Linked DNA regions of Callithrix jacchus. The protein of the gene in region 2 interacts with the protein of the main gene of each other region in a pairwise test. Links are inferred from orthologs where the notes say so. Each region holds a gene or a part of one and is shown on either strand. Other genes may lie near its edges. The genes, in order: MOAP1 and LATS1.

Evidence for each region.
Region 1: the proteins of LATS1 (region 2) and MOAP1 interact in a two-hybrid assay, tested with the Homo sapiens proteins (2 studies listed by BioGRID and IntAct). The two-hybrid records come from large-scale screens. The link is inferred for Callithrix jacchus from reciprocal best matches to the Homo sapiens genes LATS1 and MOAP1.

The regions. Positions count from the first base shown.
Region 1 is NC_133509.1:127,994,428-128,002,653, forward strand, and holds MOAP1 (modulator of apoptosis 1), read right to left. Parts: upstream 4,171-8,226; 5' UTR 4,099-4,170; coding exon 3,040-4,098; 3' UTR 2,065-3,039; downstream 1-2,064. Other genes in the region: uncharacterized protein LOC103795890, read right to left, coding at 4,196-4,218, 4,402-5,164; LYSET (lysosomal enzyme trafficking factor), read left to right, coding at 5,235-5,332, 6,083-6,494.
Region 2 is NC_133505.1:156,493,600-156,502,214, forward strand, and holds the start of LATS1 (serine/threonine-protein kinase LATS1), read right to left. Parts: upstream 5,369-8,615; 5' UTR 5,138-5,368; exon of another isoform or gene 4,792-5,137; intron 1,667-4,791; 5' UTR 1,483-1,666; intron 1-1,482. UniProt on the Homo sapiens protein: Negative regulator of YAP1 in the Hippo signaling pathway that plays a pivotal role in organ size control and tumor suppression by restricting proliferation and promoting apoptosis.

The DNA.
Region 1 (8,226 bases), on a different chromosome or scaffold from region 2:
GAAAAATATTTTCTGCATAAAAGCTTGAGTAATGTTCTAGTTGTCCGGGGTTAGATAGGACCCTGTTTACGTAAGAATCCCTTTCCCTGCTTTGGCTTGGCTGGGGCCTGCTCTTTGTGCTAACTGCCACCTAGTGGTGTTTCAATGAATGAAACAACTTATTTTACTGGTTGGCATCCCAGGTCATTTGCTATTAGCATGCATCTGTCCATATGTGTGTATCTACATAGATTTTTTATTTTTATTTTTGAGCAGGGTCTTGCTCTGTCGCTCAGGCTGGATGGATTGCAGTGGTGCGATCTCGGCTCACTGCAGCCTCGACTTCCCACCTCAAGAGCTCCTCCCACCTCAGCCTCCCAAGTAGTTGGGACCACAAACACGCGCCATCACATGAGGTTTTGTAGAGATGGGGTTTCACTGTGTTGGCCTGGTCGGCCTTGAACTCCTGGGCTCAAATGATCCACCTGCCCCGGCTCCCAGTGCTGGGATTATAGGCGTGAGCCACCACACCCAGCCCTTCTTTTTTAAATTTTATTTTTTACTCTTTTTGCTGAAACACCTAGGAACCCAAGATATGTATGTATTTCAATGAACATTTTATTTATTTATAGCAGTTTTAGGCTTACAGATAAGTTAGAAAGAGTGCAGAGAGCGCCTGTATTCTCACCTACTTTCCCCAATTGTTACTTCACATTTCCATGGTACATTTGGCTCCTCCAGGAAACTGACATTGGCACATTACTGTTAGCTCTGACTTCCTAAGTACACTTGGATCCCACTCTTCCACTCATGCCCTTTATCTGTTCCAAGATCCCTTCTGGGACACATTACATTTAGTTCACCACCTCTATCCTTAGTCTCTAGTCTGTGATCTGCGATGGTTTCCTTTCTTTTCTTTCTTTTTGAGGTGGAGTCTCGCTCTGTCACCTAGGCTGGAGAGTGGCACAAGCTCGGCTCACTGCAGCCTCCACCTCCTGGGCTCAAGCAATTCTCCTGCCTCAGCCTCCGAAGTAGATGGGATTACAGGCACCCGCCACCATGCCCAGCTAATTTTTTGTATTTTTCTTAGGGACAGGGTTTCACCATGTTGGCCAGGCTGGTCTCAAACTCCTGACCTCAGGTGATTCACTTACCTGGGCCTCCCAAAGTGTTGGGATTACAGGCGTGAGCCACCACGCCCAGTTGAAACATAGCTATTTAAGGGGAGTGTATTTTATTTTACATGATTCCATAAACAAACAAAAATTAGGTAGTGTTTACCAGATACATGTCAGAACACCTTAATAACGGCTTTGTGGAATCACACTATGAGCCCTTGCCCCTGGCATTGAATCTTTCTGATCCTCAAGCTTCTCATCTGTAAAATGGGGAAACAGTAGGTTTCTGAATAAGGCAGCACGGAATACATTAAGATCAAAAACTCTGGAAGTGTCTGAGCCTTGCCACTCACTAGCTGTGAAACCCTGGGCAAGTTACTTAGCTTCTCAGTCTCATACGTACAATGGGGAAAATAAAAGACTGAGCTTGTGGGGGCACCAAACGTGTTCACTGGTGCTCCGTATCTGGTGTTCAACAGAGCTATCATCACTGACCTCCAGGGCAGGGACTGTAGTCTAAATGTAATGACGCAGTCTTAAGCCCTCAGCTTAGTGCCTCACAGATGGAGAGGTGCAACACATATTAACACTTGTTTGTGCACAAATTCACCATGTCTGCTTCCCACTACTGAGGGGGCAAGTGAGTGGCCCATGTCACAGTGCCTGTATGCTCCAAATGACTACACATATATAAACAAGATCAGAATTACACCTTCTAATCTATTCAGAGTGCATGTCAGTTAATATTACAGTAGAAGCAGTAATATAATTGTTTTACTGCTTCAGCAGAAGGTCCCCTCAGCAATCTCACTTAGAAAACAATTTCCTACCCCTCAGCACCAAGTGGAAAGAATCCTGGGAACTAAGTCTGTGTAGGTTCAGTGGTTTGCAGATTAATGCTCTGGGAACTCTTTATTCAAATGAAATCTCTCTTGGAACCCTGATATAAACAAAACAGACAAAATCATTTTATTAGCATTCTTTTATTTTAGAAGTTCACACCTATAATTTCATAACAATTGTGAAAATGATACTCAGAACTAGATATTTTGGTAACACATAGCAGAAATCTGTGGTTAAAGATGGTCACTGCAAACTTAAATCAGCATTCAATTCTGTCTTTTGTTTTTGTACAGAATCAATATAATTCTGATTCATACAGATAATAACTTAGTATCTTAACCTCCACTCATAATCTACACCATAAATGTAGGTTAGCACATACCTAAAAATTGTTAATGATCCAACATGGTCACATGTGACATGGCACACTTGCACTTGGTACCAAACAAGCTGACAGTTCAATGAGATTTGATCAGCATATGCACCTGAGCCTTGTCTGTCCCCTCAGAGCACTGTACACAGGTAGTTAAAGAACTTTTGTACAATAAGAAATTCACAGGGATGAAGCCAGGCACGGTGGCTCACACCTATAATCCCAGCACTTTTGGAGGCCGAGGCAGGTTGATCACTTGAGGTCAGGGGTTCGAGACCAGCCTGGCCAACATGGTGAAACCCTGTCTCTACCGAAAGTACAAAAATTAGCTGGGTGTGGCAGCACACACCTGTAGTCCCAGCTACTCAGGAGACTGGGGCAGGAGAATCACTTAAACCCGGGAGGTGGAGCGTGCAGTGGGTCAAGATTGCGTCACTGCATTCCAGCCTGTGCGACAGAGCAAGACTCAGTCTCAACGACAACAAACAAGATATTCACAGGAATGAATTTAAATAGGTAAACAGCAGTGTAGAACTACATCCTTCCTGGTCACTGACACCTTTAGATCTTAAATAGGCACAGAAATAACAAAGGGCTTATACTGACAACTGCACAAAAACGAGTAACTTGGCAGCACAAGGCAGGGATTTTATGTGTCACAAGAGTACAGACTGTTCTACTTTCATGCTCTGCTCATTGCTATATCCCTTCGTGATTCCCTGAGATTCAGGTGAAATGCCCGTCTAATACTGCCTGGAGAAGGGCCTCCTCCTCCTCAGCTGCTTCATAATCCTTTATTAGTACCAGTAACTGCAATAAACTAGGGGCTGGGCCATCCTCCGGCAGATTAAGCTCTCTGCGAACTGTTCTGTGGACTGCCCCAGCAATGACTTGGTCTAGGCGGGCCTGATTCACAGCATCTCTCTCAATTGCTCCTTTCTGTACCAGCTTCTGTAACAAAGGCTCCAGCCTTAGTACATAATCAGATAACTTTTCTTCCTCCTTCTGGTAAGTGTTTAGAAATTTGTCATGCAACTCTCTAGGACTATCTGTAACCCCAAATACCTGCTCAAGAGCCTGCAGGCATTCATCAACAGTAATTAAAGGATTGTTTATCTTGAGGACACGAATAACATCAAGTGCTGGGCCTCGAAGGCTCTCTAGCACTCGCCTTCTCTTCTCTGCATCTGACACCTCCCACACCTTTAACATCTGAGTAGTATGAAACAGCCAGGGTTCAAATTCTTCTTCTTCCGGTTCTGGAGAATCACTGCCTGAGAACACGCTCAGCTTTTTATAGTGGAAGTACTGCAGGGCAGGCTCAAGAGCCTCATTTAATGCCTGTGCCAACATAGGGGCCCACATTTCTGGGATCATGCCCTGCCCTAGGTCTAAGGAGCCATTTTCATATCTAAGAGCTCTGGTCAACTCACCCATTGTCATGCCCTCTCCCTCTAAAAATTCATTTAATCTGCTTAGGAAATCATTATCTGGGTCGGGGGTCTTAAAGAGCACTCTCCAGATACCCCCTTTTCCCGGTATCTCCTTAGGGACCAGTGCACGACTAGTCTCCGCAGCAAGCCCAACTAGGGCTACTTTGCAGTTCTCATCCCTCCTGAACATCCTTCCAAGCAGTCTATACTCCCCTAGGGGAGCTAAACCAGCCTGCAGAGCCTCCTCGATTTCTGCCACACTGCAGCTCTCGGGGATGCCGGCAATCAGCAGCGCTTTCCGAGGGCTCATGTCCATCCCCCGGCACCAGTCTTCTAAAAGCCTCAAACTCATGGTGCCCGAAATAATAGACTTAAGTTCTAAATATTCCAGACCACAGGTAGCCACCGCAATTCAAAGTAATCCTCCGCGGTACCCCAGAGAAATCTCCTCAACGTGGCGAGGTCCAGCAGCCTGCAAGACAGAGCAGACGGGTTAGCTAAAGGTGCCAACGTGCAGGCCTTAAGCCCCGAGGGACCTGCACCCCGCGGCGACGCCATGTCTGCCGCATTGCGGCGTGCGCCCCTCCCCCCGCCCAGCCCAACTGCGTAGCGGTTGTCCGGCCTACAGGGCCGCTCCGGGCTTGTTTCGCCTCACCGTGATCTACTGCTCCGTGCTCGCGTCTGTGCGACGGCGGGCAAGGTGCCTGGCCAGGCCCAGAGAAGGGGCGGGAAGGCGGGCTCCCCTCGGCTCGGACGGACACTCGCGGGCCAAAGCGATCGATGCCGGTCCTCCAAGTCCCTGCGATGCTCTCCGCAGCAAGGAGTGATGGGGCGATGACAGTCACGAGCGGGAACCAGAGGGCAAGGCTGAAGAGCGCTGAGTCGCCAGGCCCAGACAACCGCCCGCCTGAAGGGACGCGCTGCCACCTGCAACGCCAGAGCCGGGTATCAAGCCCCAACTTCGGCCGCTTTGTTCTCGCTCCGAGAAGCTGTGCGTCTGGCAGAGGCGCTCTGACGTCATGAGCGGGGCGGGCCTCCGGGGGCGGGGCGCGTGCGCTTCCGGCCCGAGCCGGAAGCCCCGACTGCGGCGGTATCCGGGACGGCGGGCGGGCTGGCCACCCGGGACAGGAAGGTGAGATCCGGGATCTCAGCTTTGCAGGCAGGCTCTGCCGGCGGCCGCTGACTGGCGCTGAACTCGCGGCGCTGCAGGGCGGCGAGGCCGCGGCCTGGCGTCGCCTGCACAGCCCTGGTCGCTGCGTGCAGGTGCTGCAGCTCAGTAGGGGGCGGGGCCGGCCGCCGGGAGGCCCAGGTGGCTGGGACGCCTCCCGGCCGGGTCGGGTTCCCAGAGTGGGGCCCCGGCGGCGGCGACGGGAACCGGGCAGCGCGTGACCCGCCGCAGTCACGCCGTTCTTAATCATTAGTAGCTGGTGCTTCGGGCTGGCGGCGCTCACCTCTCTCTGAGCCGGGTGACCCAGGGGATTTATTTTTATGGTGGCTTTCTCTGAAATGCCAAAGCCACCCGATTATTCAGAGCTGAATGACTCTTTAACGCTTGCCGTGGGAACAGGAAGATTTTCGGGACCATTGTAAGTGCTTAGGAGTTATTAACTTGGGGTCTTGACTTGTAGCACCCCGTGTTCACGTCTGAAGCAGTACTGTTAAGCCAGAAAGTATTTTAACTGTCAAAGTGAAATGTGCTGTGGGAAACTAGCTTAATTCCAGTTTCTGGAGGGCGGGTATTCTGAACCTGTTTAAGTAGAACCTGTTTATTCTGTGGGATTCCCATTAAAAAGCAGAACTCGGCGGTGGCTCACACCTTTAATCTCAGCACTTTGGGAGTCCGAGGCGGGAGAATAACCTGAGGTCAAGAGTTTGAGACCAGCCTGGCCAACGTGGTGAAACCCCGTCTTTCCTAAAATTACAAAAATTAGCTGGGCGTGGGGGCAGGCACCTGTAATACCAGCTACTCGGGAGGATGAGGTAGGAGAACTGCTTGAACCCAGGAGATGGAGGTTGCAGTGAGCCGAGATCGTGCCACTGCACTCCAGCCTGGGCAACAGAGCAAGACTCTCAAAAAAAAAAAAAAAAAAAAAAAAAAAAAAAAAAAAAAAAACTCAATGTATACTGAAATCAGTTTTTTTTTACTTGCTTGTAACTATTACATAAAACAACCTGCAAGTTTTACATTTCTTAATAGGTGTTACATTTAATTATTTTAAATCTTAAGTGTGTTAGTGGAATATTTTAGAATTCTTGGAGATACAGCAAGTACATTTGGAATAGTTGCCATGACAGCATTACTAGACCCTAATTGTATTTTTTTTTTTAATTTGAAGGCACAGAGCATGGAGAATGATGAACTTCCGTCAGCGGATGGGATGGATTGGAGTGGGATTATATCTGTTAGCCAGTGCAGCAGCATTTTACTATGTTTTTGAAATTAATGAGACTTACAACAGGCTGGCATTGGAACACATTCAACAGCACCCTGAGGAGCCCCTTGAAGGAACCACATGGACGCACTCCTTGAAAGCTCGATTACTCTCCTTGCCTTTTTGGCTGTGGACAATTATTTTTCTGGTACCTTACTTACAGATGTTTTTGTTCCTTTACTCTTGTACAAGAGCTGATCCCAAAACAGTGGGCTACTGTATCATCCCTATATGTTTGGCAGTTATTTGCAATCGCCACCAGGCATTTGTCAAGGCATCTAATCAGATCAGCAGACTACAACTGATTGACACATAAAATCAGTCACCGTTTTTTCCCTGATTACAAAACTGCCAGTACTATATGGAGTCTGATCACAAGACTGTAGTTTCTTCACAGATCTCAGGAAGTTGTGGTGGGGCAGAGGCTTTTTAAAAACATGTGATTGGGGGGCTATCTTTATCTGAATAATGAATTTTTAGGTAAAGCCTGAGATAGAGTACTACAAAATCATGTTGATGACTTTAGACTTTGGAAGTTAAATCTTATCTGTTATTTGCATTCTTTAGAAACTTGACTAAGTACCTGAATTCATATTTCTATTCTACTGTGCAACATAGTGATGATTCAGAAATTTTTCCTTTGGGGAAAAAAATGCATATGAACATTTCCATTGTGTTAAGTGTAAAAAGGTCCAGACATGATCATAAAATTTAAATTTTATACAATTACTTGGTTTGCTTTAAAATTCTTCACACTAAAACACACCAATTCATTCTGTTGTAGCTAAGCCAACTGTTTATACTTGCTATCAGCTTGAGGAATTGCTAAAAGTTATTGAGGTGTTGGCTGTCTTGATAAGCAGAATTCATTCTTCCTCTTGGTAATAGCTAGCTAAATTATTATTAATGCTACTGGTTTTGTTTTTTATATTTTTTTATTTTAGTGGAGAATGAGATCTTGCTGTGTTGCCAGGCTGGTCTCACACCCCTGGGCTCAAGCTTTCCTCCCCGCTCTGGCTCCCTAAGCGTTGGGATTTCAGGCGTAAGCCCTCATGCCCAGCTATTTTTAATTAAAAAAAAATTTTTTTCCCATGACTTGTGACAGCCTCAGGAGGCCCTAAGAACATGTGCCCCAATGCTACTGATTTAGAAAACTATTTGGGGAGGCTGGGCGTGGTGGCTCACCTTGTAATCCCAGCACTTTGGGAGGCTGCAGTGGGCGGATCACCTGAGGTCAGGAGTTCAAGACCAGCCTGACCAACATGGAAGAGACCCGTCTCTACTAAAAATACAGAATTAGCCGGGCTCATTGCAAGCTCCTGTAATACCAGCTACTCGGGAGGCTGAGGCAGGAGGATCACTTGAATCTGGGAGGCGGAGGTTGTGGTGAGTCGAGATCATACCACTGCACTCCAGCCTGGGCAATAAGAGCAAAACTCCATCTCAAAAAAAAAATATTTGGGAAGAGACTAAATGTTAAATGTTGAAAGGCTTAAAATTACTTACAAACAGAAGATGGAAGCAATGTGTTCAATGAGAATATAGCAGTTTGTTTATTTATTTAGAGATGGGGCCTTGCTCTGTCGCCCAAGATGGAGGGCAGTGGCTCTCTGCAACATCCGCCTCCCGATTCAAGCAATTCTCTTGTCTCAGTCTCCCAGGTAGCTGGGATTACAGGCAACTGCCACCATGCCTGGCTAATTTTTGTGTTTTTAGTAGAGATGGGTTTACACCATGTTGGCCAGGCTGGTCTCAAACTCCGCACCTAAGGTGATCCTCTTGCATCAGCCTCCCAAAGTGCTGTGATTATAGGTGGGAGCCACCATGCCCAGCTGTGTTCATTTAATTTTATTTATTGATTTATTTTGAGACAGAGCCTTGCTCTGTCACCCAGGCTGGAGTATAGTGCTCAATCTCGGCTCACTGCAACCTCTGCCTCCCAGGTTCATGTTACTCTTCTGCCTCAGCCTCCCAGGTAGCTGGAATTACAGGCACCTACCACCATGCCTGGCTAATTTTTGTATTTTTTAGTAGCTGGTTTTGAACTC
Region 2 (8,615 bases):
CTCCCTGTTCAAGTGAATTCTCCTGTTTCAGACTCATGAGTAGCTGGGACTATAGGCATGTGCCACCATGCCCAGCCAATTATATTTTTAGTAGAGACAGGGTTTCACTATGTTGGCCAGGCTGGTCTCAAACTACTGACCTCATGATCTGCCTGCCTCAGCCTCCCAAAGTGCTGGGATTTACAGGTATGAGCCACTGTGCCTAGCCAAAACCCCTTATCTTAACCTAGATACTCCCTTCTATTGATTCTAGATCTTTAGACAGTAACAACTCAACCAACTGACAATCAGAAAAATCTTTAAATCTACCTATGACCCAGAAGCCATCCACTTCAAGTTGTCTTGCCAATCTTACATATACTGATTGATGTCTATGTCTCCCTAAAATGTATAAAACCAAGCTGTATTCTGACCACCTTGGACACATGTTCTCAGGAGCTTCTGAGGACAGTGTCATGGGGCAATGGTCACTCATATTTGGCTCAGAATAAATCTCTTAAAATATTTTATAGAGTTTGACTCTTTGTTGACACTGGAAGCGGGGTATCCTATGTGGCTGGTTTGGGAAGCATATTTAGCTTTCTCTGGGTCATCCCAAATTGGAATTAGGTACAAAGATTAAGGAAGCTGGTAGTTACTGACCAAGTCCTGACAGTTTGGGCCTATTGCTACAGAGGTCATGGGTCAGAGTTCTAGTTTCATATATGATCTGGCCATTGTCCATCTGTAGATTCAGTCTTTCATTATCCTAATACAGAAACTGGTACCTAGAAGTGAGGTGCTGCTGCAATAAAAACCTATGCAGCACTGCCTTAGTGATACTGCCTTAGTGGTCAGGCTGAGGGCTGAGAGGAAACAGATACCAGAGACTGGGAAGATGGAAGATCATGTTTTATAGTGGCAAAATATTTGGTAAAGCTGTTACCTATAATAACTTTCCATATAACTACAAGGTCAGTGAGCATACAAAGAGGCTACTGACCTTCAATTTTATAAAAAAAAGAGTTTGGAAAAGAGGATCTTGGAAGCAAATATTGACTGCTATTGTATATTTGGCAAAGTATTATAAGTAAATGATGAGCTCAAGAAAGCAGCAGCAGATTTCAAAGCAAAAACAGAAGGGAATAGAATATGTTCAGAAATTTAAACTCTCAAAGGATTGGAAAAGCAACTTGCACCTAGACCTGCAGAGGCAGGATGAAGACTGAGTACAGATATCTGCTGAAAACTCTTAGCTAACTACTGCTTCAGGGATAAAGAACACCTTAAGGATGTAGCCTTCCTGTCAAACCTAATAGCCTCAAATAACCAAATGAGTAAGACTCCATCTCAAAAAAAAAAAAAATTTTTTTCTTAAATCATCTCAAGTTCAGACTAAAAAACTCTTTGTCTATTCAAAATTTAAAACCCTTTGGCACCCAACTTCTAAGAACAACAAGCTAGTTGAGAAAGATTTGTACTTTCCAAAGGGAGGATACTCACCCAACACACACTTCACAGGTCATGGAAAACGATGAGAGAGTTCCTTCCAAATAAATCAAGGTCCAATCTCCCCTACCTCCAGGACTGGTTGCTTACACAGAATCTGCTGCTTATCTCTCATTAGTCTCCTTTTCTAGGAGTACGGCTTACTGTGGCCTTCCTAGCAGTATTCTACTCTTGTGTACTGTGGTGAGTAAGGGGAAGAGAAAAGGAAGAGAGATAGAGAGAAAGAGATACAGTGAGAGAGAGACAGCAAGAGAGCATACACATGACACACAGGACACATTACTTCACAGGTCCCTGGAGCAAGAGGAACCATATCTGGACCTGATTAAGAGATTTGGGCATGTGGACCAAAGGACCTATGAATCTTGCCTCTGTCACTGATTAGGGTCCTATTTGTTAGCAAAAGAATAACATAATACCAGGAACATCATTCCACAGTAATAGGTGTCATGTTTCTTTTTATTTTATTTATTTTTAAATAGAAATGAGGGTCTCTCATCTCTATTGATGAGGCTGGTCTCAAACTCCTGGCCTCAAGCGATGCTCCCACCTTGGCCTTCCAAAGTGTTGGGATTACAGGCGTGAGCCACCATGCTTGGCCAGTATCATGTTTGTTTGATTCTAAGCATGCTGTTCTACATTTTAATATTTCTAAAATTTAGGGCCAGGTGCAGTGGCTCATGACTGTAATCCCAAAACTTTTAAAGGCTGAAGTGGGTGGATCTCTTGATCCCAGCTGTTTGAGATTAGCCTGAGCAACAAAGGGAGACCCTGTCTCTACAAAAAATAGAAAAAAAAAAAAAAAAAAAAACAAAACACAGCCAAGTATGTTGGTGTGCACCTGCAGTCCCAGCTACTGGGGAGGCTGAGGCTGCAGTGAGCCGTGACTGTGCTACTACACTCTCCAGCCTAAGCATCAGAGCAAGACTCGAACTCTGTCCCACAAAAAATAAATAAATAGAGTATATCTTGAGATCAACGTTAAAAGATATTTTTCAGGTCCACAGCAGAGAAGTTCTGGAGTAGCGGTCATTGCACGTGCGTAACTTAGCCATAAATAAAAGACGAAATCTCCTTGTTACCTCAATTGTATTATTTTCTCTTTTTTTGAGACAGAGTCTTGCTCTGTGGCCCAGCTTGGAGTGCAGTGGCATGATCTCTGCTCACTGCAACCTTCACCTCCTGGGTTCAAGCAATTCTCCTGCCTCAGCCTCCCAAGTAGCTGGGATTACAGGCACACACCATTATACACAGCTATTTTTTTGTATTTTTAGTAGAGATGTTTCACCATCTTTTTTTTTTTTTTTAAAGACAGGGTTTCACTGTATTGGCCAGGATGATCTCAATCTTCTGACCTTGTGATCTGCCTGCCTCGGCCTCCCAAAGTGCTGGGATTACAGGCGTGAGCCACCATGCCCAGCTACTCCGTAACTTTCAATGATTTTTAACCTAATCGTTAAAAGTAAGAGCTCTGGAATCAAACTGCCTGGGTATGACAAATCTCTATTTTTTTTTTGAGACGGAGTTTCACTCTTGTTATCCAGGCTGAAGTGCAATGGTGCGATCTCGGCTCACCGCAACCTCCGCCTCCTGGGTTCAGGCAATTCTCCTGCCTCAGCCTCCTGAGTAGCTGGGATTACAGGCACGCGCCACCATACCCAGCTAATTTTTTTTGTATTTTTAGTAGAGATGAGGTTTCATCATGTTGACCAGGAAGGTCTCGATCTCTTGACCTCATGATCCATCCGCCTCGGCCTCCCAAAGTGCTGGGATTACAGGCTTGAGCCACCACGCCTGGCCTTATTATTATTTTTTAAAGTTCAGACCCTCATCAAAAATACAAACGACAAACAAGTATCATCCATTAGTTTGTCCAACTTTGGAAAAAAACAGGTACCATTACATAAGATTGGGTTGAATTAAGTTTATCAGAAAGGTACCCTAGCTGGGTGCAGTAGTGCGCCTGTAGTCCCAGCTACTTGAGAGGCTGTGGTGGGAGGACTGTTCAAGCCCAGGAGTTGGAATCCAGCACAGGCAACATAGCGAGTCCCCATTTAAAAAAAAAAAAAGATGACTATGTCATAGCTTTGACCAGATCAGTAATAAGGACAGCAACAATAATATGTGCTGTTTCTTTTTTTAGCAGCATAGTCTCATTCGTATAAACAGCGATATTCAGGAAACTGGATACTGACATTTTCTTCTGTTCACTTTCTAATAATTGTGGGATCAAAAGTGAAAAATGCTGAAAAAGGACTGCTGCTTCTACTTGGTGGAAATGTTATTCAATGACTAACTTTTGTGATGTATAACAATCTCCCACTAATATAAATAAAACATCTAGAATAAATAACCAGAGTTAGAACCATTCCAAGACTATGTATACAGCATAACAAGGACTAGCAATAAAAACAAAAATAAAAACGACCTACACAATGAAAGCCAGATATTATACATTTAAAATACAGCCAAAAAAATTTTTTTTACTTGTTTTTGGAGAGCAACAAGTCATATTCAATCAATATTTAGGCACAGAATGTGCTGTTCCAGGAATGGACCATGATCTAGTTTCTTGCAGTAGCAGCCAATGGAACTAACACAATGCTACTTCTTTCACTGTTCAAACTCTTCCACTGCCTTAGGGAATCAACTACCCCATTTTACCATCAGAGATAAGCTTTGTTTTCGTAGCAGAGAACATTCATTCCAACTATAATGTCCTACCTTTTCTTCCTCATGAAGGAAAATGGATAAAAATTTTTAACCTTCAATAAACAATTCGTAAAGGTCTGACAAGCTTCATGATCACTAACATTCAAATTCATTTCCAAAACTGGAGTTATACAGTATTATTTCTGTGCAGGAGACTATACTTACTGTTCACAAGATTTATGAATAACTTCTGGAGGATGATATATGTTTTATAAGTTGTATTAACATATGAGTTGACAAACATTAAATTATGTTCCATTAGAAATTGACAGAGAAGTCAGAATGGGGATTAAGTCATCTGGAAGTCATTCATTGAGCTACAAGCCCTTTCAGGTTATAAAAAACGCTGTTCCCTAAATTGTCGTTCCTTCATTTTCTGTATTTATATACACACCCCTACTCCGTAAAGACCTCTCCACCTCTCCCACCATTTCCAACTATGAACAGTAACCTTTATCACATTGAACTAGAAATAAGAGACTCCCAGGATTTCTTCAAGATACACCCAGGATCAGAGCCCTCTGGGATTCAAAAAACTGTAGCTCTTTCACTGCAAATTTCCTTCAGAACCACCTTTCCCGTTCCTTCCCTGTGGACACCGCCGACCCGCGTTTGGGGGTGGGGTGGGAGACAGTCGGCGCAAGGCCGCCAGCAAGGTAGGCTCTTCCCTGCCCAACGTGCACTTCCGAGGCCGAAATGCCCGGGGCTCTTCCTGCAGCACCGGGCGCGGCCAACCCTCGCTTCCCCAGGGCAGGGCTCAGCTCAGGTCAATGCAACCAGCCCAGTCAGGCCCGGAGCGGGCCGCCGCGGCCCGCCAGTCCACAGCAACCTCTGGACCCCCGCCAGCGGGGATGGGCGTGGGCCCCAGCGGCCACCGCCCCGCCAACTCCAGCTCGGGAGAAGTGAGCCCCACCCGCTACGCCAGCCCCGGACCTACCTGGAGGGGAAAGGAGAGCTCCTGGACAGCGGCCACCGGCCCGAGGGCGGGCGCCTAGACGGCCGGAGCCCGTCCCAGCAACCCCAAGTATCCCTGGTGGGGCAGAGCGGGTAGAGACGCCGGAGGGCTGCCGCGGGCCACTGTGGCCCGTCGCGGGGGTCCCGAGGACCTGGCTCTCCCCTTAACACCAGGCCACTGCCGCCGCCGCCATTTTGCCTTCCACTCAATGTCGCCGCCGCCGCACTCCGTTGCAGGTTTCCCGGATGTGGGCATTTCCCGGCGTCGCTTGCGCGGGGGCCGAAGACTGGGGGCTTCTGCCCGCCCGGCAGCAGCTAGGGAGCGCGCAACCGAGGCCTCTGGGCCTCGTTGCGTGGCCCGCCGCTCAGAGCCTTCGTGAGCGTCGCCCCACGTCGCTCCCGCCTGCCCTGCCCAGAAGACTCGCCCGCGGCCGTGGGTTAAGGCTCTCTCCTGCCCAGCCCACTCGGTTGATTGAATCCTTTTTCCCATTGATCTCTTTCTCTGGACCGAGTAGGGATGCGCATTTCACGGAGCTTCGTTCTCCGAAGGGAACAACTGTTGAGTTGTTCTGGGAAACTTCGCTGTGGACCTCAAAATTCGAGTTTTGGCGCTTTGAAATAAAATTTTATTCTTGCTTAGCGTTCTTTCCCCGAACAAGCCCATGAGGTTCCAGCATCTGTATTTTCTGAATCAGCCAAGAAGAAGTTCTTGAGCCAGGACCGATTAGCAGAGTTTAGAGATCTGACCTGTCAACTGCATCCGTAGGAGGAGGTCGTTATTGCCTAACTGGAATAACGGTGACGGTGTGACAAGACAAGAGGTTTTACTTCTAGTAAAGTTGAATAGAAAATCTGGGATGGGATCACTGGGTTTGATGTGTAAGGTACTGTCCACCCTTTGTGAAGAGTGCCTTTGCCAGTTTTTCCTCTAGAAAATATAGTGTTTTCAAGTAACTTCTTTCGTAATTTTTCTACTATAGACTACAAAAAAATTACAGACGTCTTTTTCTGATGTTAAAGTAATAACTGGCTGCTTACTGTATTCAGAAATCCAAATGTGAAAACCTGTTAAAAGATTATGTTCCGCTGGCCATGGTGGCTCACGCTTGTAATCCCAGCACTTTGGGAGGCCAGGCAGGCGGATCACAAAGTCAGGAGTTCAAGACCAGCATGGCCAACACAGTGAAACCCCGTCTCTACTAAAAATACAAAAATTAGTTGGGCATGGTGGTGCACACCTGTAGTCCCAGCTACTCGGGAGGCTGAGGCAGGAGAATCTCTTGAATCAAGGAGGTAGAGGTTGCAGTGAGCCGCACCACTGCACTCCAGCTTAGCACTTTGGGACCCCAAGGCAAGTAGATTGCTTGAGTCCAGGAGTTCAAGACCAGCCTGGGCAATATAGTGAAACCCCATTTCAATAAAAATTGCAAACAATAATCAGGCTTGGTGGTACATGTCTGTAGTCCAGATACTTGGGAGACCGAGGTGGGAGAATCACTTGGGCCCAGGAAGTCAAGGCTGCAGTGAACCAGGGATCACACTACTGCACTCCGGCCTAAGTGAGAGTTAAATCTTGTCTCAAACATCTTTCCTAATCAATGGGATTAAAATGGAGAGAGCATGCTGGGCCAATTATGTAGAAAATAATTAGCTTCTACAAAAGATACAAAGAAAATTGTTAGTCCTTTCCTATATTGAAATGAAATTTTTCTTAGAACAAGAAGGATAGGCCCATATTAAGGATTAAAAACCATCTGTATTAACTCCTGAATATAGGAAGTGTGGCTTAGGAGAATCACATGTGAACACTTCAGAAAGCGGAGACAGCATTACAAAGGAATATTATTCCTAGAAAAACGATGGCAAGGTTTCTGTCATAATCAGCAAAGACAATGATGAAAAAGTGTTTATCTTGGAAGTCACACTTAAAAGGGCCTCTGGCCGAGTGTGGTAACTTATGCTTGTAATCCCAGCAGTTTGGGAGACTGTGGCAGGTATACCACGTGAGGTCAGGAGTTTGAGACCAGCCTGGCCTATGTGGTAAACCCCATCTCTACTAAAAATACAAAAAAATTAGCCGGGTGTGGTGGCACACACCTGTAATCCGTGCTACTAGGGAGGCTGAGACAGGAGAATCGCTTGAACCGGGAAGCAGAGATTCCAGTGAGCGGAGATCGTGCCATTGCACTCCAGCCTGGGTGAGGGAGACTTAGACTCAAAAAAAGAAGGAAAAAAAAGAGGACCTTTGACAAAGAGGAGTATTTTTTAAAGGGACAACAAGATTGTGAGTTTAGCTCAGGTCAGTTAATAGTGATTCATTGCTTACTATGGTTCAGATACTGTTAAACACTATACACTTGATCTTGTAGCCCAGTAGGGGGAGACAGGCTCCTTAACACATTGCTTTGAGCACAATTTAAATTCTGCACAATGGGCTTTTGAAGCAGAGTGCAACTTAGTCCAGATTGCTGGAGGCCAGTAAAAGCTGTCTGGAGAAAATGACACCTAGAAGGAGTCTTGAAGGATAAGAAGGATTTAGCCAAAAATGACAAGAAACAGTAAGAAGGAAACCTTCACTGGAGAGACTATAATAATCACTTTTGAATATTTGAATATGAAAGGAATTTTGTGTGGGTGGCTCCTGAGGTAAGACAAATGAAAGCAAATTTCAGTTCAGTATATGAAAATTCATTTATTTAGTGAAACCCTATGGTAAAGGATCCCAACACAGATTAGATTCAAATATAACGTAATTGGTGATTGGCTCATCTCATAGGCTCACATGATCAGTGTGTTAACATTACACCAGGACTGTACCTTTTTACAGGATTGTTTTGGGTCCCACTCTTACACTAAAATCCTGCCATAATGCTGTATCAATTAGAGCTGTTCAAATGTGAAGCCTCATTGGAAAATGGGAATATTTATCACCATATATATACATATATTTTTTGAGATGCAGTTTCACTCTTTCGCCTAGGCTGGAGTAAAGTGGTGTGATCTCGGCTCACTGCAACCTCTACCCCTGGGTTCAAGCGATTCTCTTCCCTCAGCCTCCTGAGTAGCTGAGATTATAGATGCCTGCCACCATGCCCAGCTACTTTATTTTTGCATTTTTAGTAGCAACCGGGTTCTGGCATGTTGGCCAGGCTGATCTTGAACTCCTGACCTCAGGTGACCCACCCACCTTGGCCTCCCAAAGTGCTAGGATTACAGGCGTGAGCCACCATATGTTTTTAAGTATAGGGTAGATGATACTTTTTTGGGAATTTGTTGGGAAAACTGTAGAAGGAATCATGAATTTTAGGCTGGAGATGCTCGCCAAGGTACTTTCTACCTCTAAGAACCTGCAACCCTTGAAAGAAACTATAGTTTAATAAAGGCAGTGACAATGAACAGATTCATAAATTATGGTGTTATATTACATATAGCTTAGTTTCTTATTAAAATTGGCAGAACTT